2 linked regions of the Tamandua tetradactyla genome follow. The protein of the gene in region 2 purifies or fractionates together with the protein of the main gene of each other region. This does not show direct contact. Links are inferred from orthologs where the notes say so. Each region holds a gene or a part of one and is shown on either strand. Other genes may lie near its edges.

The links.
Region 1: the proteins of RANBP6 (region 2) and ARMCX3 purify together in Homo sapiens (co-immunoprecipitation; 3 studies listed by BioGRID and IntAct, counting the BioPlex papers as one, with this or other methods). This does not show direct contact. The link is inferred for Tamandua tetradactyla from reciprocal best matches to the Homo sapiens genes RANBP6 and ARMCX3.

Annotation. Positions count from the first base shown.
Region 1 is NC_135353.1:71,882,588-71,895,253, forward strand, and holds ARMCX3 (armadillo repeat-containing X-linked protein 3), read right to left. Parts: upstream 4,891-12,666; 5' UTR 4,722-4,890; exon of another isoform or gene 4,567-4,721; intron 4,546-4,566; exon of another isoform or gene 4,326-4,545; intron 4,190-4,325; exon of another isoform or gene 4,110-4,189; intron 3,873-4,109; 5' UTR 3,813-3,872; intron 3,526-3,812; 5' UTR 3,455-3,525; intron 3,178-3,454; 5' UTR 3,032-3,177; coding exon 1,892-3,031; 3' UTR 1,495-1,891; downstream 1-1,494. Other genes in the region: protein ARMCX6-like, read left to right, coding at 11,028-11,927. UniProt on the Homo sapiens protein: Regulates mitochondrial aggregation and transport in axons in living neurons. May link mitochondria to the TRAK2-kinesin motor complex via its interaction with Miro and TRAK2.
Region 2 is NC_135328.1:91,787,261-91,799,187, reverse strand, and holds RANBP6 (ran-binding protein 6), read right to left. Parts: upstream 5,672-11,927; 5' UTR 5,650-5,671; coding exon 2,332-5,649; 3' UTR 899-2,331; downstream 1-898. UniProt on the Homo sapiens protein: May function in nuclear protein import as nuclear transport receptor.

The sequences.
Region 1 (12,666 bases), on a different chromosome or scaffold from region 2:
TGTTGTGGAGGCTGCTAAGATCATGTCTGAGGAAACACTTTATTTTCTTAGAAAAGAATGAAAATCCTATTCCTTTGACAAATTATTTTAACAGTTGCCTTACAGGAATGATAGGACTCTACAAAGTAGTCACTTAATAAATGCTAACCTTTATTGTTGTTATTATTTATTAAATGACACTGACAAATGGTAGAATGCCCCAACAAAACAAAAGTCAACCAAAACACTATCAACTCTGCATTTTTGGGAATTAAGGATGTTCACTTTTCTTGATTAACTGTTATGTACCAAAACGTTGTGAGTATTCTACATGTATTAGCTCATTTTATACTCATGACAAGCCCGATCACCTCTCATGTATCATTTCAGAGAGGAACGTTCAATCCACCTCATTCTTAATTCAAGTATTTTTCCATTCAGTCATGCTCTATTCACTTGTTTCATTCCCTATACTTTTCTCTTCAAAAATGTCTTAAAATCAATATTCATTTTAGATTAAAATGCAGAGATAAATAAAAAGTAAAAGGGTACAAATCACTCATTAAAATTCCACCCGAAGATAAGCACTGCTACCACTTGGGTATCTATAAGTCCAGAATTTTTGTATGTCTATTTAAGCATGTGTTTCATTAATTCTTGAAGAATAGAATCATACTATAAATACTGCTACTATCCTACCTTTTTCACCTAACAATGCATGATGTATATCTTTCCCTGGTAATACATATTTCTATAAACATATTTATCATAATACACTGTGTGAACATTTCATAATTTGTTTAGCCAATCCAGTGTGCTGGACACATAGGTTGTTTTCAATTTTTACTATTTTAGAGAGTGCTGGGATGAACAGCCTTTTATATACAATCTTTGGCCATTTGTTCAATTATTTCTTTAAGATGAATAAGTCAAAGGGTATACATATTTTGAGGATTATATGTATTACTAAATGACCCTCCACAAACCTTGTGTCAGAGTAAATTCATTCCCGTCACCAGGGTTTGAAAGGGTCAACTTTGTGACACCCTTGCTGACATGGCACAGTAGGGGAGAGAGGGACTTTTATATAAGTTCCATTTTTTCTTTCTAGTAAAAAAAAACTTATTTAGTGGCTTTCAGGTTCAATGGGATGATATTCAAACAGTTCTACACAAAACGGCTTCAAAATGTTATCTGCTCCCACTCCCCATTCTCTCCAGTCTAAACAGACTGGTCTTACTGCCACAGGAGAGGAGTTCTACCTCCATGCCTTTCTTACACCATTCCCCCTCATTCCTATCTCATGGAACGCCCTTAAACACCTTACTCCATTCAAGACCCATTTTAAATGGCTGCCTTCTCTGTGAAGTTTTAGTTGACTAACTGTTACCCACAGAAACCTCTGCCTCCTCTACGCACATTTGATAATGAGCATGTGCTCAAGATATTCTCAATTATCTTTTTGTTTGTATGTTTCTTATCTCTCCAAAAAGATCATAAATAGAAGGACAAGGGTTGTTTTTTCTTTCTTCTTTCCTTTTATCTTTTTTTTCAAGCATTAACACACACCTTTATTGATGATACACAAATGAAGTCAATGCAAATGACAGAATGGAGCTGGCGTATGACTAATTGGTTCACTGTCAGTCACTTACTTATGTGGAAGGAAACAGCAAAAGTATTTCAATCTAGGCAGTGAGCTAAAAAGCAACAAACGTTTTCAGAACAAGTAGCAATATTCATTCATTCAGCTTCAACCTGAAAACCAACTTGGTTAATATTGGCATTGATGATACAATATGAATTTATTATTCAAAATTGGCAGCTGAAAGGATTCCTTTACCATATAAACAAGGTGGAGAAAAGGAATAGTTTACAATGTGTATTGCTTCTAGGCTTCAAACTCAAGATGTTATTCCTGGCTCTTTGGGAACATATGCTCTGCCAGTTTGGCCATGAATTTTCCAACTTTTACTTTCACCAAAAAATCATGGTGACTTTCTATTCCCAGAACCTTATCAGCACACACTTGAAATTCTTTTAATAAGAAAAAGAGTGAACCTTCACTGAATTGATTCTGAGTAGGTTCATTTTCTTCCCATTTAAAATTGTCACTTATATTCTCAAATATGACCAGAAGTTTAAGGATAATTTCTTTGTTCTCCTTCTTATTAAAGAGGGAACCCAGTGAAGATGGTACTTGGGCCCTGAGCAGTTTTCTAGTCATGGCTGGATTTTCAGCCAAATTCAAAAGTAATTTCAAAACCTGAAGTTTGGTTTCTTCATTTCCCGCTGAAAATAAACGAAAAAAGTCTGTAATGGAATTGGCAAGCATGTGCTGATACTCATTGGTAACAGTCATATTTGTAAGCAATCTTAGTCCAGCCAGCTGCACAGATGAGTTCAAGCGAGAAGTAATTGTGTCATCACACACTTGATTCATGTATATCTTAAGTCTGCGCTGATTTTCAGCATTCACACTCAAGTTATTTAGAACAATTAAAGCTTTCTCCTTAACTATGGGATCCCGAGTATTGAGAATCTTTGCAACAATTGGGAGGCCACCCAGATCACGAATAATATCTCTGTTAAATGCATACGCAGCATTGTTACCCAGAGCAATTAAAGCTGCTTCAAGAATATAAGGCTTTTCAGACATTTCAACCAAGCAAAGAACTTTCTGCAGCTCTTGAGGAGACAAAATAGTATCATCTGAATTGGGAGAAGCTCGTTTCTGGACAGCACGACGTGCTCGGGTGGCCCTGGCCCTTGCCCTAGCCCTAGCTCTGGTCCCAGCCTCAGTCCCAATCCGGGCCCAAGGTGGGTACCATACTATATCCTTGTTCTCATTGTTGTCATCATCATCATCAGAGCAGTCATTGTATCTGACCCCAGAACAGTCCCCAGCATCATCCACATTTCCAGAGCCACCCTCAGCCATTTTCTCCTTGTTCTGTTTTCTTCCCTGGGTCAGCTTATAAATGCAATAGCAAGCACCAGCCCCAATTACCAGTCCTGCAGTCACCCAGCCTACTTTCCTGGCGTAGCCCATGCAATCGTCCCTGACAATAGCAGGGACCAAGGAACAGAGTTGTCACTTGGGCTGGGGGCAGACGGCTGTGGGCCTGGGTGCAGGTCTGTGGAGAATGGCAGTCTTCAGCCACTTCAAGGCCACAACAGCTGAAACTAGAGGTGGACCTAGGGATGCAGGAAGGAAATGGGGTTGAAGTTTCTCTTCTCTTTGTGCTGCCCCATGCAGAGTTGCACAGAAGACAGGAGAATAGTAACTGGGAGTTTGGTGGGAATTATAAATTGTTAACAAATTCTTATATCCACCCCCTCATTTCACCCTCTCCGTACCTCCCCAGCTCATTCCCACCTCAAACCTAGACAAAGGCAATAGAGTTAAAAGACTCTGCTGGGGCCTTGTCACCCAACCACAGGCATCCCCAGGGAGTAGCACTCTTGCACTAACCTCCACAAGACTGGGCAATTCGTTCCTTCTTCCCTCCCCTGGAAGTTGCCACACCCAACAACCTTTCGGATCTGCAGAGAGACCAGAGCAGTGAGGACTAAGGGCTTGAAAAATGCCTAAGTGACTGTTCATGTGTTGCTTCCCTGATTCATGATCCCGTTGTCAGGGGTTTTCTTGTTGTTTTTCTTTAAACTCTCAGTCCCTCTAGCCCATCAAAAATATGCACATGCCTGTTTCCTCCTTCGCTTGAAATGGGAAGGATGTAAGGAAAATAAGGTAGGAGTGGGTGAGCCCATCCAAACCTCAGCTGATCTCTGTCCCCTCCCCGATTCCAGGCAGCCCCCACAGGCACACCGACCTCTACAGCTCCGGGGAAACTTCCTCCCTGCTTCAAGTGGTGCCACCTGCTACAGCAAACCTGCAGGATGACAGATTGAAAACATGGAGACTAACTCTGGATGAGAGAGAATTGTGAACAAACTATCTGATAGATATCTCTCCTGTCATCCTTTTCCTCCCCTCAACGCAGCCATTTCGCCACATTTGGGGGAATGTGAGAAACGCACTCAGACTCAGAGGAGAACCTAAATTATTACATCTCTGTTTTCTCCCCACTTCCACTCCCGCCCCTCCTGGGGTGCCCAGATGGTCTTACCCTCAAATCGACCTTCACCGATAGGGTTTAATTTCCTTCCTCTTCTCTTGCCTGGCGTCATACAGCAACCTACAGAAAGACTGGCCACCCAGGAAAGGCTCGTACCCACTAGACCCAGACCACAGTCAAGAAGATACAGCCAAAAGCAGAAGGATGGGAAACAGCTGCTACTGAGCTTTTGGTGGACAGACCAGTTCCCAGAACACGAAAACTTACCTAATTCCGAGGCTCGGTTTTTAAAGGTTTCCCATCTTTGTTAACCCTCTTGAGGTTCCACTGACACACTCGTTGCACCTCATCTCCCTCCCCATTCCCGACCTTTCCCCTCCAGCACCGACTTGGTGAACTGGGGAGCCAACACCCAGGCCACAGCTCCCTTTCCGGATTGTGGGCCTCAGATCCCAACATATTCCCACCTCCCGGTCTCTAGGCTCCTCCCCAAACACTCCCTGCTCACCGTTTCGCAGCAATGAAATAGGCTGCAGGCAGGACTTAAGTCTTGGAAAGCCGGCGGCGAATGGGAGAGACCGATGGAGGCGCCCCAGGACTCGCGACGGTCTCCGCCCTGCGTCTTCTACCACCTCCACCTTATGGAATTTCTCAGGCACTGACCTGCAGGGATCCGGGACGATTTCCTTCTCCTCCTCCTCCTTCTTCCCTCTGCCGCAGGCCCACCCGTCCTCAAGGCAATTGGGAGCTGGTACTCGGACGGACGGGAACAACGACTAGGACAAGAAGGACTTCTGCACACGTCAGCTCTTGATCACGTGATATCTACGTCATCCACTAACTCGGGTCCCCAATTTCCCCTCCCACCAGCAGTGCGGCAGAAGAGGGCCCGCCCCCATCCATTCCCTCCCCCATACCCGGCCTTGTCACTCTTTTCTCTTCATAATCCCATCTCTCTGTGGTTGTATCTGCCCTCCTCTGATTACCAGAAAGGGACAGCATCTTGCCCTGGGTGTACTGGCCACTTGAACTTTTTTGAAAAATTGCCTTTTCCTTCCCTAAGCTCTTGGGATAGCAGCCTTTCCCTCCACCCCCTCTCCTTGCTATTAATGTCTACCATTTCCTCTGAAATCTACTCCTAGATCTGACATGAACAAGTCATCAAAAAGGAGGCCTGGAGTGAGAGTTTGGTTTTTACCTTCTTAATGTAGTTTTGTTGTTTTGTTTTTGCTCTGACCCCTCCCCCTTCCCAACCTGCATTCTTTTTATGAGAAAAAATACCATAAATCTATTTTCATTTGGGTAACAAAAATGAGGAGGTGGAAGATTGATCTTAAGTGCTATCAAGCCTCTAAAAATCCCACATTCCCACACTTCACTCGAAGCAGTCTTAATGTTTTCTGGGTCCTGGCACATAATACAACCCTGAAAGGGCTAATCAGTGTGCCCCCAAATTTGTAAATCTTTTGGCTAAGGTCAGTCTTCTAAATAAGATAGCTATAGACTTCCACCTGCATCTTTTAACAAACAAGAAGCATTGAGCCCTCAAAACCCAGTAAAACAGAAAAGATTGAGTAGAAATTATAACTACTTGGTTGGTATCTGTAAGATAAAAAGTCATGCGACTGACAAAATTAGTGACATAAAAAGAATATTACAAAATGTGTCTGGGTACAAACAGCTAATATCATCTGTAAATGAACTAGGGATTAGTGGAACATTGAGAACAAGACAAAATTGGCTAAACTCTGCCCGTAGTGATTACTTTGAAACCATTCCATTGACTGGTGTGATGAGCTTGATGAAACTCCTGTCACCAATTAGTTATCTATATTTAAGTGGAGAAGTATTAAAATAATGTCAGAACACAGGGTCTGCAGTGGGATACTCCTTAAAAGTTTGGATTTAAGGCTGTTATTTCCATAGTCAGTACAAGAATAAATCTACAGACTGGGGAGTTTGACAACAGGAAAATCTCCAAGGAAATTCATATCTGATCAAACTCTGGGAGGCAGTACTAGGGTATGATTGAAATTAAGCAAACCAAGTCAACTAGACGATTCTGTGATTAGAGAAAGATTGTGCAAGGGGCTTATTCAAGCAGAGAAATATACAAAAGGAAGAGACTGGAAAGTTTTGGTTGTTCTTAACCAAGCACTGTCTGGAGAGAGGGAGTTTTCACTAGGATGAATGGAATATTTAACTTTCCTTGGCAGCACCATCCCCAGCTTCCTTAGCTGAAAGCCACTTCCTAAGGTGAGCCAACCACCCTTGTTCTGATTTCAAGCTCACTATGTGACCTTTTGAGGCTGTAACTTCCCAAGTAGTAGTTTATCTATAGGAAGAGGGTGTTTAGTAAGACTGACAGAAACCTTCAGTATGCCTGACAGTTGTATTTCTCAGGCAAATTCTTCAATTGGCAATTCTGTTGAGATTTAGCTTACCTCTGGCCAACTTACAGGGAGGGAATGCAGAGATCCCTGGGTTTAAGCATTTTGATCTAGATTTATATGTACACCTCTGTGAATGATTTGACTGAGGCATCTGTTCTCAGAGTATAGACACAATCAAAGATTGATCATACCGTGCTGAGGACAAGACCCTGCACTGTAGATGTAATGTTGTGGAATCCTGTCAGGGAAGCCACCTGGCCTTGGCTCGAACAACTCTGTGCATCAGCATTTGAGAGCTGCAGCTCTCAAATGTTCAGTTAAGGGGAAATTATAACTAAAACACACTATAGTCAATAGTCTCCCAGCACCTCAGTCAAAGTACTGAAAGAGCGCATACAAATCAACAACAAAAAGAGCTGGAACAGTTTACATTTCTCTTTGGGAAAAGAAAGGAAATTCATTTTACATTTTGTATACTCATATTTTCCCCAGCTAAAGGGCAGGTATATGACCCAAAAGAAGCCAACCATATGCTCTCTTAAATTTGAATCTTGGGCAGAGGAAAAAAAATCTGAAAATTGATGGAATTCTGGCACATATCAATTTCTGCTACCTAGACCTCTCAGAGAACATCCTGGTCTCCAGCATTCCCTTACTGCTTAAGTTAACCAGGCTTGCTTTCTGATGCTTGCAAGCAAAGAACCTTAACTAAGAACAGCATTATAATACAAAAAGTAATACAGCTTATCAAAATAACAATCCTCTATAATTTATTTTTCTTACCTTCTGCAATTCCATCAGTGTTACTATCTACTGATCTCTTTTTGTTTGTTTGTTTGGGGACATTTTATAATCACATTTGACCGATACTGATTTATGCCAAAAGCTTCCTTCTAGCTGTGGTTTCACGTAGTCTTTTACAGGTCAGGAACTTTCAGCAAGCTTACCTGGAGAACTGTTTAAGGATTTTATTTTTTCATTTTTGAAATAGTATGCAAGGCACATAACATGGCCTTAAATAAATATTTGTTGGTAGATGTATAATGGAGAGCAAAGTAATTTTTAAATACTAGTCCCAGGTTCCTTGGTAGAAATTGTGGGTCAGAATTACAAATGGGTAAGACAAATGAAAAGGTAGTCATGCTCAGAAGTTCAGCAAGTTTCAAATCAGGAAAAGTTTGGCAAACTGAAAGAATGGTGGTTAGGGGGTTATACACTGAGGTAATTGTAGAATACACCAAGGACGGGGATATATTTTATATTAGGAAGGAGAAGTTGGAGTGACGCTTTTGTCCTTGGAACCTTGCTAAGTGTTGTGAAAATGTGTCCTTACTGTAGAGCCATGTCTATGACACCAAGACCACTGCCTTTATTATACTTTACATACTCCTTACTTATTTCTAATGTATATATTTGAAACAAATAAAACTCACTTATATAAGAACCTGCAGCCAAAAACTGAATGATGAACAGTTGAATCTGAAAGTTCTCTTAGTAAACCTTCGTAAATGGAATTCATTTGTCTGGCAGAATTGAATCAAGAGTGATAAAAAGAACAGTGTAAGGGTATTGGGGAAACAAATGTGGTATGATATTAGTGCGTGAGTTTGGACTAGAAAAGTTTAGGGAAGATCAAAACGTGAATGATACTGACTTCCAAATATTCACCAGCAAGCCTCTCTAGTCTCCCTGGCTCACCTCTGGGAAGAGCCTGCCCTGCACAAGGGCCCCTCACAGGGTGAGCCTCTGACTGGGGTGTCATATTTCAATGTTCTGATAGAATGGCTGCCTAAAAGATCTATATTTAGACTATGACTCCCTGACAAGGACAGGTGGATATCTGAGGACTTAATTCTACACACTTCGTCCCTCAGTTCTGAGATGATTCTGAGAGGCTTGTACAGGTAGTGCAATGAGACTGGAACAGAAGACAGGGAATGGAAAGGTTTTTTTATCCCTATGAGTGCTTGGGATCCTGTACACACTCTTATTTGTGAGGGGAAAATGACACGAACATAAAAGGGGTATTGCAGTGGTTCGTGGTCACACACAGACCCTCACCATTGTACCCACCGGAAAATGCTGAATACCAGCCACTGCTGAGGTGATGTGAAGTGCGGTACATAAATGACCCATACCGGAAAGATCTCACCAGCACCACGATGGAAGGGAAAGCCCACCTGATAAGCCTCATTTCATTGGGGGATGGCAAAGATTTTTCTAATTTCTGAATGATTTATGGGTTGCATCATGAAATTTCTTAATGGAGTTTAAATAAACCTCTCTGAATGGAAAATAGGCTCATCTGTGGAGATACTGAACTTGTAAGATGCTACATTCACCCTGAATTGGAGGTCTTCATAAAGTTTGTCTTTTGAAGTCAGAGTGGAAGACATCCAAGAGTTGTCCATGAAGATCTCGAAGATTGACATCTAATACCATAAGTTCAGCCAGAAGACAGAAAGGCACAGTGGTTCGTTTATTTTAGATGGTCATGATTAGAACATTACCTTGTCAATATATATTAATTTGTCCATCATTTTATAAATGACATTGAAAGCGCACTGGTTTTGTTTTTAAGGGTTTTTCGTTTTAATTATAATGCGCTGTATGAAACTTGTATTTCCAATGCAGTCAGAAGAAAATATTTCCAATGTGGTATAAATTAACTCAGTCAATGAGGCCTCCCTATTGGGGAGATATCTTATATACTTTTTTTCATTTTACTTGAATCCAGTTTTCCCCAAATGAAAATGGTTTTATTGTATTTTCTGATTGCAATATAGTGTAACAAGTCAGTAAAAAAAGAAAGAAAAATGAAATAAAGCATAAATATATAAAAATATTAATTAAATTCTCACTAATACTTGGGCTTCCTTTTGACCACTTCCCACCCTCTATTTTGGTGCAGAGAATGTATATGGGAAGGGGTAAAAATTCGAAGTGGGCTGCAGGAGTTTCGGTGCCTAGTAACCAGTGAGAGAATTCATCAAGAAGCATAAGTGAACGGTAGTCCCAGGAAAAAATGCTGCCCCTTCCTGTAATTACAGAAAGGCAAATTCAAGTTCCAAAAAGACGTGACCACCTCTGGTGTCTGGTATTGTTTAAGAGAAAAAGAGTGACAGGGCCCAGTGTGACTGAGGGAGATACGGGGCGGGCTGGCGCCTGCCGCACTGTTTGTGGGAGTGGAAATTGGGGGCCAGGGCTGGTGACGTGATCGTCACGTGACCAAGAGCTGACTAGAGCAGAAGTCCTGCTCGTCGCCTCCGTCTGGGAACCAGTCCCCTATCACTCTGCAAGCGGGTGAACGAAGAAAGAAACTAGTCCGCAACGTGCAGGTCGGTGTGAAGGTGGGCGCTGCTTGGTGAGAGGTGGGGGTGGGAGAGGGACAGGAGCGCCGTGGTTTGGGCCAATCGGGGCTCTGTCCCCTCCTCGCCTACTTTCTAAATACCCCCTCCCATCCCGTGTCCTCTGCCCATTTGAGTAGAGAACTGGCGGGCTTCGAGCGGGGGAGGGGATGGGGGCAGTAGGTGGCGGTTACAGAGACCGCGAGGAAAGACATATTCCTCAATTAGGGTACCGGTACCTTGGGTGCTGGTCCGTCCACTTAGCACTCCGTCCGCTCTGTCTCTTGTCTGCAGGTTTGTAGGTCTGTTGGCCTATACTCGCTGCTCAAATTGCTACGAGGGAAGGAGCAAACTGCTCTGGAACCGTGCAAGACAACGTGAAGGTGGGATTAGCCCGGGACCCTGGGCGGGGATGAAAGGGGGCTGCGATCTGTGCGGGCCAGGTCCGAGTCGCCCTCTCCGGGCCCCTTCTTTCTTCATACCCCCTCGCATTTCTGTGCAGGAAAAGGGGTGTGGCGCCTTTACTGGGGAAATGGCGGACGGCAAGGGGTGGGGGCGGGGTGGGGGCGGGGAAGTCCGCGTTAGGAAAGTCGGGGGGTGGGGTGGGAAATATTTTAAACTCAGGGCCTAGAAGTCAAAAAAGCAGGTGTTGGGAGCTGTACCCTGAGTGCCAATCCATCAACCACACTGAGTTATCTATTACTGCTTATCTTCCTTTCTATGCTAGACTGTCCATTTGTCACCCAGTAGGGAGCACTAACAACTGAAGACAAGGGAAGAAGAAAGCATTTACCCCGGCATTGGCAGAGGTTAGCTGATGAAATTGCCTGTGAATCCTTGAAGGGTGGGGTCGTGGTGGAGGATGAGATTAACTGAGATTTGCTGCTCCCTCTCAGCCTCCTGGCTGCCATGGCTCAGAACCATATCTCACCCTTTTTTTGTGGAAACTGGAAGAGAAAACAGAGGACCCTGAGAATAGCCGGGGAGTACAAGAAAGAAAGGGAGAAATGATTTGCTAATAATAAACCATTGTCAGCTTCCACTGGGGCACACTGATAAGGTGCACATCCAGGCACAGCCACAATCCCTAATACACTTTTCCACCCATAGATTCATCAAAAGACCGCTGCAGGAGACTGTAAGAGGCTGAAAACTACCCAAGAGTCCTCTGCAATCAGGCTGACCAAATCCCTCTCCTGGCCGGCCCCAAGGCTGGCACGGACTTAAGTATGGGCCGGGCTCGGGAAGTGGGTTGGATGGCAGCAGGACTGATGATCGGGGCTGGTGCCTGCTACTGTGTTTACAAACTAACCATAGGAAGAGATGACAGTGACAAGTTGGAGGAAGAGGAAGACGAATGGGATGAAGATGAGGCACTGGATGAGGAGGAACCCGACATGTGGTTTGATTTCACAACTATGGCTCGACCCTGGAATGAGGATGGGGATTGGATTAAACCTGGGGCCCCAGGTGGAAGCGAAGACAGGCCGTCAGGTGGGGGTAAAGCTAACCGAACATACCTAATAAAAGAGCGCCCGTCCCCCTATGGACATAAAAATACTTGGAGTACTACTGTTAATAATATGAGTGTTGTTCTTGATCTCTCCAAGTGTCCTTTCATTCAGGTAAAAATGCTGTTTGCTCAGGCCAGGGAGGCTGGTTTTCCCTCTACCCACAATACCAACTGTGATTTGCCCAGCCTCCCAATTACTAGAAGCATGGTCCCCACTCCCAGAACCGCTGTGAAGGAGAAGGCTGTGCGTGCCCTGGATATGTTGAATGGGAGTGTTGAACATCAGGGCCAGATTAAGATGTACATCAGTGAAGTGTGTCAGGAGACTGTGTCACATTGCTGCAACTCATTTCTGCAGCAGGCGGGATTAAATTTGTTAAAAACCATGACGGTTATTAATCACATGCTTGCCAAGTCCGTTTCAGACTTGAAGTTTCCATTGATAGCAGAGGGGAATGGATGTGCTGAGGATCAGATTCTGAAACCGCTAATGAGTTTGTCTGAAAAGGCAGCCTTGGCAGGGGAGTTGCTCAGTGCCCAAATGCTGTTCTCATTCATGTCCCTCTTTATCAGAAGTGGAAACAGAGACGTTCTCTTGGACGTACCTGCCCCTTAAATGACCAATTCAAACAGAAAGGGAGTGAATCCACCCAAAACCCGTTTGGTGAACATTCGCTTGAATTCTCATTCAAAGAATCTGCAGAGGGTGCTACTGAAGATCCAGCCTTAGCCGATCACCACATCCTTGAGTTGGGTGAATGTTACAGTTGCTAAACCCAGGACCGTACTCTTACTGGCCAGGCAGGGATCCCCACAGAGCTTTCAGTAACTTCTTGGTTTTGCAGGCGGCAGGCAATGCACATTGTAAATTACCCCCTTCCAGCTGTCCTCATGTGGTAAAGGGGTCCTTTCAGCTGCCAGCTGTGGATAAAGAATGTCATACTATAGCAACACGAGTGAAGTTGCTGCCTGTGGTGGTCTCCCTGTTTAAGCTGGACCGTTTCGTGGAGACCAGCCGTGCATCAGAGCTTGTGCTGGAAATGCATTTGTTGCTGCTTAGATTGAATTTCTTTGTATTTGCTCTTTCTTCTACGCAAGCGGATTAATGGTGAGCCTATTCATCAAAAACAAAAAACAGCACTCCCCCTCTACCAATTGTACTGAGTTAGCCTCATGCACCCGAGACTACGTTTGTGTGTATCGTCAATAAAATTGTGCGCTTTCATTGGCAAAAAAAAAGAAACATGGTCCTTGTCCTTGAGTTTACAGCCTGCATGAAGAAAAGGACAAAAATACACACTATCTGAGACGCTTGCGTGCTGACAAATGCACGCTTGCCAGTGCTTACAGCAAGC
Region 2 (11,927 bases):
CCCCTAATTTCATTTGACAGAGCAGAGATTTCCAAGAATCTGGAATCTACCCTATGAGCAAATATCCACTCCTCCTTTTTGGCCACCACCTCTATTTCATGACTTTCAGATAATATTAGCTTTCAGTTATTGAACCCTGAGCCACTAAATCACTTTACATTTATTATATTCTTTAATCCTCAAAGCCCTATTAATTAGGTATTATCCCCACTTTACAGATGGGGAAACTAATGCTTAGGTTAAAGAATAGTTTGCCAAAATTCAAATCTATATCAGTTTTATTTCAACAACTCCAGATGCATACTTTGAAGACTTCTGGCAGAATTTCCCATTCTTCATGCACAAGAATGTAGGGATTGCTAGAAATGTTGATGAAGGGCTTAACGAAGGGATTTAAAAGAGCAAGGATAGGTCATGAAAAGGCCAAGGTGGCAGGGATCCTAGCTCCTATTAGGAAAGCAGAATCAGGCCCTTGAACTTAAAAAATACAAAGCTTTATTTTATAAGAAATATGTTGGCTGTAGGTAAATTAGAAACTATAGATCAGTGAAAGATAAAAGAAAAAAATTGCCAATTAATCTCATCAGATTAACTTCTAATACTCAGTGGTGGGATCTTTCTATTTACTCATCTATATTTTTAAATTTATCTTAAATAAGTGTAACAAAATTGTGACCCTACTGTATATAAGGACTTTAACTTTTCTTTTTTTCCCTTCAATAATAAATAATGGTATGGAATGGACAGGACTTGCATAACTAAAATCTCAACTTTGTATCTCTGTCCACAATGGCCTCTAGGTGATTTGCCTTTGGGAACTGCAAAGGGGTGAATCAGGGAAGATTCTAATGTGAAAGGAATCCATTAAAAAAAAAGAACACATAAAGGGTACAAATAATAACAGCAATAACAGTTACCATTTATTGTGCACTTATTACGTTTTAAATAGTTGTTAAATACTTTACACATACACAGTACTCATAAGAGCCCCAGGAAATCATGACAGATGTATTGGTTTTTAATTTTTGGATCAATGAACTGCTGAGTAGAAAGCTTTTTTCCTACCCTACAAAAAGCTCAACATTAAAAAAACCAAGATTCTAATTTATATAATTAACCTTAGATTTATAGAAATGTTTTCTTATACTGTACAACTACTGCTACATGACTGGTCTCAACATTGTTTTCTTTCCTATGTTTAAAAATAACGTTTCGGTTGTGTTGCTAGTTCTTCTAAACCGATGCAAATGTACTAAGAAACGATGATCATGCATCTATGTGATGATGTTAAGAATTACTGATTGCATATGTAGAATGGTATGATTTCTAAATGTTGGGTTAATTTCTTTTTTTCCGTTAATTAATAAAAAAAAAAAATAACGTTAATTTTGCTTCCCTTTCACAGTAAAATACTCCTCAGTGCTATACAGAGTTTGTTAGGAATTTCTTCAAAAAAGAAATCTAAGCCTTATCCTGAATTAGGACTTCCCTTTTCATTGAGCTGCTTTGCAGGGGGAAAAATGGCACACATACATTAAGCAATACTGTGGTCAAACACATATCACTGACTGACTCCTCCACAAACACTAATGATTATTTGTCAAACATTGTTATACAGTATGTTACATGCTACCAATGTTAGATATACTCAACATTGTACCCCTTTTTCAGTAACCATGGTTCTTGAGAGTCCTGGATAACTTTAGGGACCCCACTAGCTAAGGTTTTAAAGTTCCATAACTCTTAGCTAGATATCTTAGGAACTAGAATGTGGTTATGTCCCACCTAGTTCCCAGGAATACATTATGAACAAGTTCATATAAATTAAAGAAAACTTCCCATACCCACTGCAACATTTCAATTTTGCATCTTCCCATTACCATGACAACTGGGATCAAGGAGGAAGTAATAAGCCCTTTATCCTTCACCCACAATTCCTAAGATATTTGTGCTGGAAGTTCTTCTATCTTGTCTTGGTGAACTCTAACATTTTACAATACTCAGCATGCCCTCTTAACACCAATTCTATTGCTCGTTCAGCATCAATAGTTGAGGCAAATATCAAATATTTATATACTTCATATCAACTAGGGAAAGAGGGCAAACATTCTAAGACAATGGAAGCACTGGTTATCACCAGGGTTCTGGGCTTAAGAGGTAAGACATGCAAGGTGAACAGAAGGCTATAAAGACCGACTAATCTTGGAGAAATGCTGGGAAGAAATATGAACTGCTTAAGCAGGGAGAAAACAGTTCTCTTACTTATAATCCATCCACATTTATTTGGAGTTGATTTTATGGAGGATAATATTCAAGTGGTATTAAAGTGCTTCAAGCAAAATTTAACAACTCCTGTAAGGCTACCTGTTGTTCATCATCAAGTTGAGATAGACATTCCAACCACAATTCTTCAGAAATCTGTACCTGGCGCACAACATTAGCTAGGCGTTTGGCACAAGGATCCTCATGGTTAATGGTCTCATTAATTTTTCCTTCTGCAATTATACTGATTATTTTGGGAAGATTGGAATTATCTGGACCAAGTACAAGTGGATGGTTACTTTCAATTAAGTCACAGAGAAAACTCAAAGTCTGAATAGCTTCCTCTTTATCTTCATGCAGTGGAAGCCATGATAACCAGTGTGGAAGAACTTCATCCACATTTACACAGTTAGGCTTAAACCTCAAAATCTTCCCTACTGCTGAGATACAGTTCTCTGTAGCAATGACATTTTTTTTGGTTTTAGAATTTGCACACTTAATGACTTTTACCAACAGTGGAATGGCTTCTGAACATAAAGAACGATAATCATCTCCACCAAACTGTGCCATAACTCCCAGGCCATAAGCAGCAGCTTGCCTAACTTCAGGGTTGTTATCTCGCATATTTAATAGCATTGGCCACCGAAAATATTCTACATATTTAAATGAGGTTGGACTGCAGTGCTCTATGATATCATCAAATATGCACAATCCCCACTGTCTGTCTGGCCATGGCCTATTTGAACAAATTAGATTTACAATTAATGGAAGTAGCTGTTCAAACCATGGTAAAATTTTTTCCTTATAAGTACTAAATAATGAGTGTAAAATATCTGATACTTTGGTTAGAATATAAACATCACATTCATCCTCATCTTGCAAAGACATCTCAACCTGTTGATCATAATTTTCTTCCTGTCTTTTAACCTGTCGCAATTCTTGATTTTTAAAGTGCCCTTCAAGTTTCGCTTTCAGTATTCCTCCCAATTCTTCCAACTGTTCATCATTAAGGCACCCATCTCCTATTACTTCAACGGACTTTGCAAAAGAACTCATTATTTCTGAGAGGACATCTGTATCAGGTTCGGTCCCAATAGCCTTGATTAACGGATCACATATGAATTGCCACATCTGTGCAAGATAGCCTGGACCATGAATTCTTGCACATTCCAGGAGAAATGGCATGGCCTCTGCTGCTGCCACTCGAACATTATCGTGGAAATAAAATTTCAGTAAAGGAACCATCAGCTTTACAACCTGTTCCGTATATTCCACAAATCCTTCCCTTAGCTCCTTAGCATAATAAACCAACATCTGGCAAGCAGTTGCTTTTGCTTCAAGTCCTGAAGTTTTAATTCCAAAACTTTGCTGGTCTCCAAGATTTACAAATTGCCAGCCATCATCATCATTCATATTCTCCACATCTTGTGTGTCTAAGAGAGCGACGTCAGGTTTAGCTGAAGCAGTCTTAATAAGAGGCTCAATAACCAGAGAAAGGTACTGTTGAAAATCTTTTCCAAGAATTTTACACATTCTAGCCCATGCTGAAACCATGTAAGAGATCTGAGGGTCATCATCTTCCATATTATTTAAGTCTGATTGTGTCTTCAACAATAACTGCATCACATTTGATGCATCTTGCATAAATTTTTCCTTCCCAACAGCAAGACCAACATGGCTAATACATTCAATAGTTTTTCCTCTTAGAAGCTTGAGTTCCTTCTGAACAGCAAGCTCAACAATGTGCTTTAGTGAGGGCATAAATACATCATAGTAAGGAACAAATTTTTCTTCTATTGTATCTGCAACTGAGGCAATGGTTGTCACAAGTTGTTCCAAGGCTAGCTTAGTTCCATTTCGAATCAACTCTTGAAGTTTAATCACCAAGATGGAATGTAGATTTTTCATCATATTATCTAAATATAGAACTAGCAATGACTTGGGGCAATCTTCAATAAAAATAATAAGAGCAGAAGCTGCATGTGATTGCACGCGCTGATTACCTTGATTTTCCATGGTACGCAACAGAGCTGCAATCACTGTTTCATGGAATTTCTTTTGGAAGCTGGGTGCAAAATCTGTAGCCATCTGTCCAAGTGTAGTACAGGCTGCAGCCCTCACCCTTGGATGGGGATCCTGAAGAAAAAGCAAAACAGAGTTAACCATTTCATCTAGAGTTGATTCCATTTGCTGATGGCATCCTTCTCCAATAGCAGATAAGGCCATTAATCCAGCATGTCGATACTTCCAGTCAGGGCTCTGAAGCATCTGCATTACATGCTCCTTGGTCATTGGCAAAACAACTTTTCCACCGAGGCCACAGGCTAGTCTGTCTAGTGCACTCTCGGCAGCAACAGCATTGCTGTCAAAATCATCTTCTTCCATTTCATCAGCATTTACCCAGTCCTCATCATCTGGAAGATCAACCATCATTGCTAATATATGAGGAACTGCCTGTGCAATAATGTTTGTATGCTTTTTCAGCATTGGGGTTGCAGTTTCAGACAAGGTCACTATTACTTCAAGGGCCAGCTGGCGTTGCAGATTACTAAGCCTAGAGTCTCCACATAACTTTAGACTCAATTGCAGAGTTTCCTCTAAATAAGGACCCAAGTACTTAGGAACGGTATCTGCAATCTCAACAAGGGACTCTAAGACGGAATCATCATCCTGGTAACATGAATCATCCACAGCCTGTAAAATTCCAGGAAGCAAGTCTGCAAAGTCTTTGAAAAGAGCAATATTATTCTCATTAGCAAGTACAAATGCAGCTGCAGCTCTAGCGGATAAGGTCCTAATCGCTGGATGTTCTTGATCTTGAATACACTGGTCCAACAACCGTTTGATGATATCCAAATCATGCTGCTCTTGGTTCCCAAAAATCCCAGGAAAGTGCCAGAAAACGTGAAGTGCAACTTCCCATAAAACCACATTTTTAGAGTGGATTGAGTCAATAAGGAATTTCAGACCTTCGGGCCAGTGGTTAGTGCCATCATCATCTATCAAATTCCTGGCCAGCACCGCAAAAATATCACAAAGTTTTTTCCTCATGCTCGCATGTGTTTCTAACTTAACAGCCAGGATCAGCTCAATCTTGACGTCCCTCTGAACATGAGAAGGTAGATTTGGATAGACTTCCTCAAACCCGGAGGACAAAAGCCTTCGTAGCAGTGCGGCAGCCATTTGTCTCACCTCATAACCTGCTCTTCTATTTCTGACGACATCTAAGAGGAATGTAGTCTTACAAAGGCCAGGGATATTTTCATAGATTTCCTCTGCCTGCCTCCGCACCATACAGCTTGGATTGATCAGGTTCTTCAGAAGCTGGTAAAACTCTTGCTTTTCCGACACCGCCGCGGATACCCCTGCAATCCCGGCAGCCGCCATCGCGCTCTGTCAAACTCAATGCGACGAGGAAAGGAAGGAGGGAGTACTGCGGCTCGGAGCAGTGACGTAACTGCGCGCCGACGTGGGTGGGCGGAGGCTCTTCTTACTCCTCTATCTTGGGTCCCAAGCTAGTTGCTGGGAGCACGGAGCTGGGAGCTAGGGAGCCAAGGTAGGAGGAGAGGGGCGGGGAGGGTGAGCAGGGAAGTCGAGTCCGTTTGTTTTCCAGTCAGATAAATATAATATGCCTCCGGGGTGGTGGTGGAATACAATATATATATAATATCGATTGTATTAGAGTGGAATTGTGTGTCCTTTTCTCTAGTTCCAAGTATTGTTGTTACCCGGATAACTTAAAACAATAAATTCACCTTGGAAACAGGCTAGGTGAAAGAGGCCAGTTACAAAATACCACCTATTGTAGATTCGCTTAATAGGGAAAGTCCAGAACAGGCAAATCTATGGAGATGGGTGGTTGCCAGGGGCTGGAGCGGGGATGGGGGAAGGAATGGCGAATGACTGCTAACAGGTAAGATGTTTTCTTTTTGGGTGATGAAAGTGCTCTAAAATTGATCGTTATGATGGTTGCATGACTCTGAATATGATAGAAACCATTAAATTGTACAATTTAAATTGGTGAATTGTATGTTATATGAATTATACCTCAATAAAATTGTTTATATAAAAACCAATAAGTCCAATAAAAAGTAAAAACAATAATTACGGCCCCACCCCCACCCCCAAGGCAGTACAGCAGTGGTCCTCCAACTTTGGAGTGTGTCAAAATGATCTGACCCATGGATTACAAAAAAGAATGCAAGAGACAACTGAATAAACTATGGTGGAAAATATCTTGGGTAATAAATAGAAGACCTGAACCTTAGTCTTATCTCTAAATTAATTTTATAGTCTTCATGGAACTCAAGTTTTTCCTTACACATTACCTAAACTGTAAAATGAAGGGGTTCCATTGTTAAAATCTCTGATTACCCTTTAGTAGGAAGCTGTTCAAGGTACTACACATATACACACACACACATGCACACACATACCCTTGAGGCCTAGTGTTTCTTGAATTCAAACTGGTGTGTCGGTAAAAAATACTGAACATCCCTCTAACGATGATTAGGTCTTTTGTATTAGCACTTGCCACCTTCTCATTTTGACTTTTATATCAGCTTATGAAGTTGGTAGGATAGGTATAATATTCCTAATTTTGGGGGGTGTTCTAGTTTGCTAGCCACCAGAATGCAATATCCTAGAAATGGAATCGCTTTTAAAAAGGGGGATTTTAATAAATTGTTAGTTTACAGTTCTATGGCTAAGATAATGCCCCAATTAAAGCAAGTCTGTAGAAATGTCCAATCAGAGGCGTCCATGGAAAGATATCTTCGAACATGGTGTCATCTGCTGGCTTGCTCTCCTAGCTTCCTTTCATGAAGCTCCCCAGGAGCCATTTCCCTTCTTCATTTACAAAGGTCACTGGCTGATGGGCTCTCTGCTTCTCATGGCTATGTTGTTCTGCTTTCTCAGAATCTCCTGGCTTTCTCTCTTGTTTTTCTCTTTTATAGGATTCCAGTAAACTAATCAAGACCCAACCGAATGGGTGGAGACACGCCTCCACCTAATCCAGTTTAACAACCATTCTTGGTCTAATCACAGTTTCAAACATACAGTACTGAATAGGGACTAGAAGAAACGGCTGCCTTCACAAAATGGAATCGAGATTAAAACATGGCTTTTCTAGGGTACATACGTCCTTTCAAACCAGCCCATTCCACCCTTTGGACCCTAAAAAAACATGTTTTCCCCATATACAAAATACATTCATTCCATAACAATATCAGAGACCCTTAAACCATTTCAATAACATTTCAAATACAAGATTAAAATCAGTACAAAGTCTCATCAAAGTTAGTTAAAGGCACAGACATTCCTAAGGCAAAATTTTCTCTATTGGCTCTGGACCTGTAAAACTCAGAACAAGCTATTTGCTGCCAACACACAAAGGAAGAACAGTCATAGGTTACATACACCCATCTCCATAGGGTGGAAGGAACACAGGGGTCACCAGACCCATAAAGTTTTGAAAACCTGCAGGACAAAGTCCATAAGATTTCAAAGTCTGAGAGTCATTTATCTTTGGGGCTTTTGAAAGCGGCAGTCCCACCCTTTCCAAAGGCCTGCATAGAGGCCTGCCTCTCTCTCAACGCAACCCTGGGGTATAAGAGGGAGAACACCTTTTTCTTGGCTCCACCATCTCCAAGGATCGGGGCTGCACCCGTGCTCTCTGCCGTCTCTGGGACACACACTCGACCCCTCCATGTAGTGGCAGCCAGGCTCTCCCCAAGCCCTAAGGAATGTGCTTCACTCTCTCCAAGGCCTGAGGCGGCATGACTCTTCCACCACAATGAAGTACAAGGCCCATCTGCTGCCTGTGGGGCAAACTTACCCTCTCCACAGGCTTGGGTGGGTCTGTCCTCTTGGCCAGAGGCTTCTTGACTTAAGACCCCGGCCTCCATGGTTTCACCTCGAGTTATTTTTCTTCAATGTGTCCCATCTCTGAACCCCCCAGTCCAGTCTGGCAGTGGCCCTGTTTATGCAGGTCCCACAGCACTCTTGTTGGGCTTTCTATGCAGTAGCCTTGGATCATGCCCATCAAACATAAAGAGTTTCCACAAATCCTTCTTGGATAACTCCATGTCCCATCCTGGCTTTCTCTGAAATGGCTGACTGGTTTCACATTTGGCCAAGACCTTATGTGGTGCACTATTCTCTGGGGTCTCCATTCCTGGAAACCCAGAATTTTCCAGAATATCAACTTCTAGTTTCTTTGTACCCAAGAGTTCAGTTCTCAGCTTTATCTTTCCTCTCTCATTTCACTATAATCTGTGAGGAGAAACCAGGCTGCACTTTCCACATTTGATTTGGAGATCTCTTCTGCTAAATATCCAAGTTCATGGCTTTTAAAACCTGCTTCCAGCCAAAGCCACTGGTCAGTTTTGCCAGATTATCTGCCATTTTAAAACAAGGCTCGTCTTCCTTCCAATCTATAATAACAGGTACCTCATTTCTGTCTAAGGCTTTATTAGAAGTGTCTTTAGAATCCACATTTCTATCAACAGTCTTTGCAAAGCATTCTAGGCCTTCTCTATCAAGCTTCTCACAACTCCTCCAAATTCTTCCCCTTATTCATTTAAAAAGCCGTTCCAACATGTTTGGTATTTGCAAGCTGCAGCTGCAGCAGCACCCCACTCTTCAGTACCAAAATCTGTTCTAGTTTGCTAGCTGCCAAAAGGCAATATCCTAGAAATGGAATCGCTTTTAAAAAGGGGGATTTTAATAAATTGCTAGCTTACAGTTCTATGGCTGAGATAATGCCCCAATTAAAGCAAGTCTGTAGAAATGTCCTATCAGAGGCGTCCATGGAAAGATATCTTCGAACATGGTGTCATCTGCTGGCTTGCTCTCCTAGCTTCCTTTCATGAAGCTCCCCGGGAGGCATTTCCCTTCTTCATTTACAAAGGTCGCTGGCTGGTGGGCTCTCTGCTTCTCATGGCTATGTTGTTCTGCTTTCTCAGAATCTCCTGGCTTTCTCTCTTGTTGTTCTCTTTTATAGGATTCCAGTAAACTAATCAAGACCCAACCAAATGGGTGGAGACACACCTCCACCTAATCCAGTTTAACAACCAGTCTTAATTAAATCACACCTCCGGGGGGATGATCTAATTACAGTTTCAAACATACAATACTGAATAGGGATTAGAAGAAACGACTGCCTTCACAAAATAGGATCAGGATTAAAATATGACTTCTCTAGGGTATATACATCATTTCAAACCAGCACAGTGGAAACCGAAACCCAGAAAATTTCAAGGACTTACCTAAAATGAAGCAGCTGAGTCTCAAACCCAGATCTTTTGAAAATAACACCAATGTTCTTTTCCCTACACCGCTTCCCCATAATTAATCTTACTTGGTTTTACAACATGACCTTGCACTTACTGCAAGTGGTCAAGAAATTTAAGTGTCTTAAATTTCTCCACGTGGGCTTAATTTTAATTTTGTGAAGTGCTGCTGCATATACCTAGAGATAGAAATTCATAACTTTAGCATTAATCATGTAATGGAAAAAGTAAATAGTCTCATAAATTACAGTGTAATATATAATAATACATTCATTTAGGAAGAAGCACTATTCTCTAAAGAGCATAGGTCATCTTTTAGGCTGAAAAACCAATGATAACAGAATTACCTGAGATACTTTTTTTAAAATTTAGATATTAGGGCCCAAGCTTCAAATGACTAAAGCGGAATTTCTGGGGAATACAACCTAGGAATCTTCCATTTAAACAAGTACACTGGGTTTTCATACAAATATCAAAACTTGAGACCCACTGATGAGATCAGTTCTGGTCTAATTCCAACAGCTTGGCTATAATTCTTCACCTTGCTCCACATGCACTAGTTTCCTTAATATTCCTTGAAAAAGTCTAACTGTACGGCCTTTGTATTTGCCGTTTCTGGAAATGTTTAATGTTTGATATGCTAATGTGAGGATAAAATGTTTCTCTTGATGTTATATCATTGGTACATTAAATACTTAACACTAGAAATATAATTGAGTTCTTGCAAGAACTACTTCAAAGGTATGATTCATGTACAAAGAGTGTTTTAAGTTCAGGGTACAGGGGGAAAACCGCTATTGCATGCTATGGGCTATGTTTAAAAGGAAAATATGAGCACTACTACAGAACAGCAGAGGTAGATAATGGGGGGAGGGACAAGAGTTAAGAGGAGGTTTGGATTTCCTATTTAGTGAGGGTGTGTTTATTGGTTATCTTTCTCTTGGAAACGATGAAATTATCTAAAATAGAGAGTGTTGATAGACTGTGGACTTTGGACACTATACATGAAGCCTGATGAATACAGGTGGCTAAAGGATGCACTAACTGAGAAGTAGATTGGCAAACGATGGTGTATACATATGATCACATGTTGTGCTGCTACAAAAAGGAACGATGTCCTGAGCCATGCAACAATGTGAATGAACATGTGGGACATTTGGTGAGGCAAAATAAACCAGAAATGAAAGAACAATTATGGTATGGTCACCTTTAGAAAATGCTTATGAGAAAACAGGGGCCTAGATTGTAAGCTTTTATAGCAGGCACATTTAGTCTGGAGTGGTAATTATTATTTCTGGATTTTGAGAGGCTGTTGTGTGTGTGTGTATATATATATATATATATATATATATATACATATATATATATATATATATATATATATATATATCCTGGCATTTAGAGATAAGAATGAAGCCAATCAGGTTGGGGTTAAAGTAATTCAGAACACAGGGAAGGAACACATTGTCTGTATTTTAGAACCACGCATACTCCTTGAGACCAAAGAAAGAAAGGTTTATTTTGTCAGGAACCTAAATTTTCTGTAGCGCATAATCTAACTCATCCTATTTGTATAGCTTATTTGAAGAACTGAAACACAGGGAGCCCAGAATAAGAAAGAGGTCCTTTAATCTTGTATAGTTTAATGCAATGCCTGGATACATCCTAGAGTATATTAAGCAGATAATCAAAAAGTATTGGCAAAGTCCCTTGAGGGATGGAAGAAAAAATATGAACTATTAAACTATACCATCAGGGAATCCACTGACACTATGTCAAACCTTAGGGACACCCATATCAGCAGGCCAAGCCCTTGATCTTGAAGCTTACTCTTGTGAAGCTTATGTAGGTAGCGGAATTTAGCCTACCTGTAGGTGTGCCTAAGAGTATACTGCTGGAGGACCTCTTTTGTTGCTCATATGTGGCCTCACTCTCTCTAAGCCCAACTCTGCAAGTGAAATAAATGCCCTCCTCACTACGTGAGACATGACATCCAAGGGTGAAAGTCTCCCTGGAAGCATGGGAGATGACTCCCAGGGATGAGTCCAGCCCTGGCATCATGGAATCAACAATTCCATCTGACCAAAAGAGGAAAAAGAAGTGTAACTAATAAAGTATCAGTGGCAGAGAGAGTTCAAATGGAGTTAAGAGGCTACTCTAGAAGTTGCTCTTACACAAGCTTCAGTTAGACATTGCTACCTATCATAACCTGCCAAACCCCAACCAGAACCATTCCAACCAATCCTAAAGAACACCTAGGGCAATATAAAAGATTCCACAAGGGTTCCATGCACTAAAGTAACTTTCCAGAAACCTACGACTTCCAGATGGGTCCCTGGACCAGATAAGTCCTGAAACCTAGAGGGCCCAGCC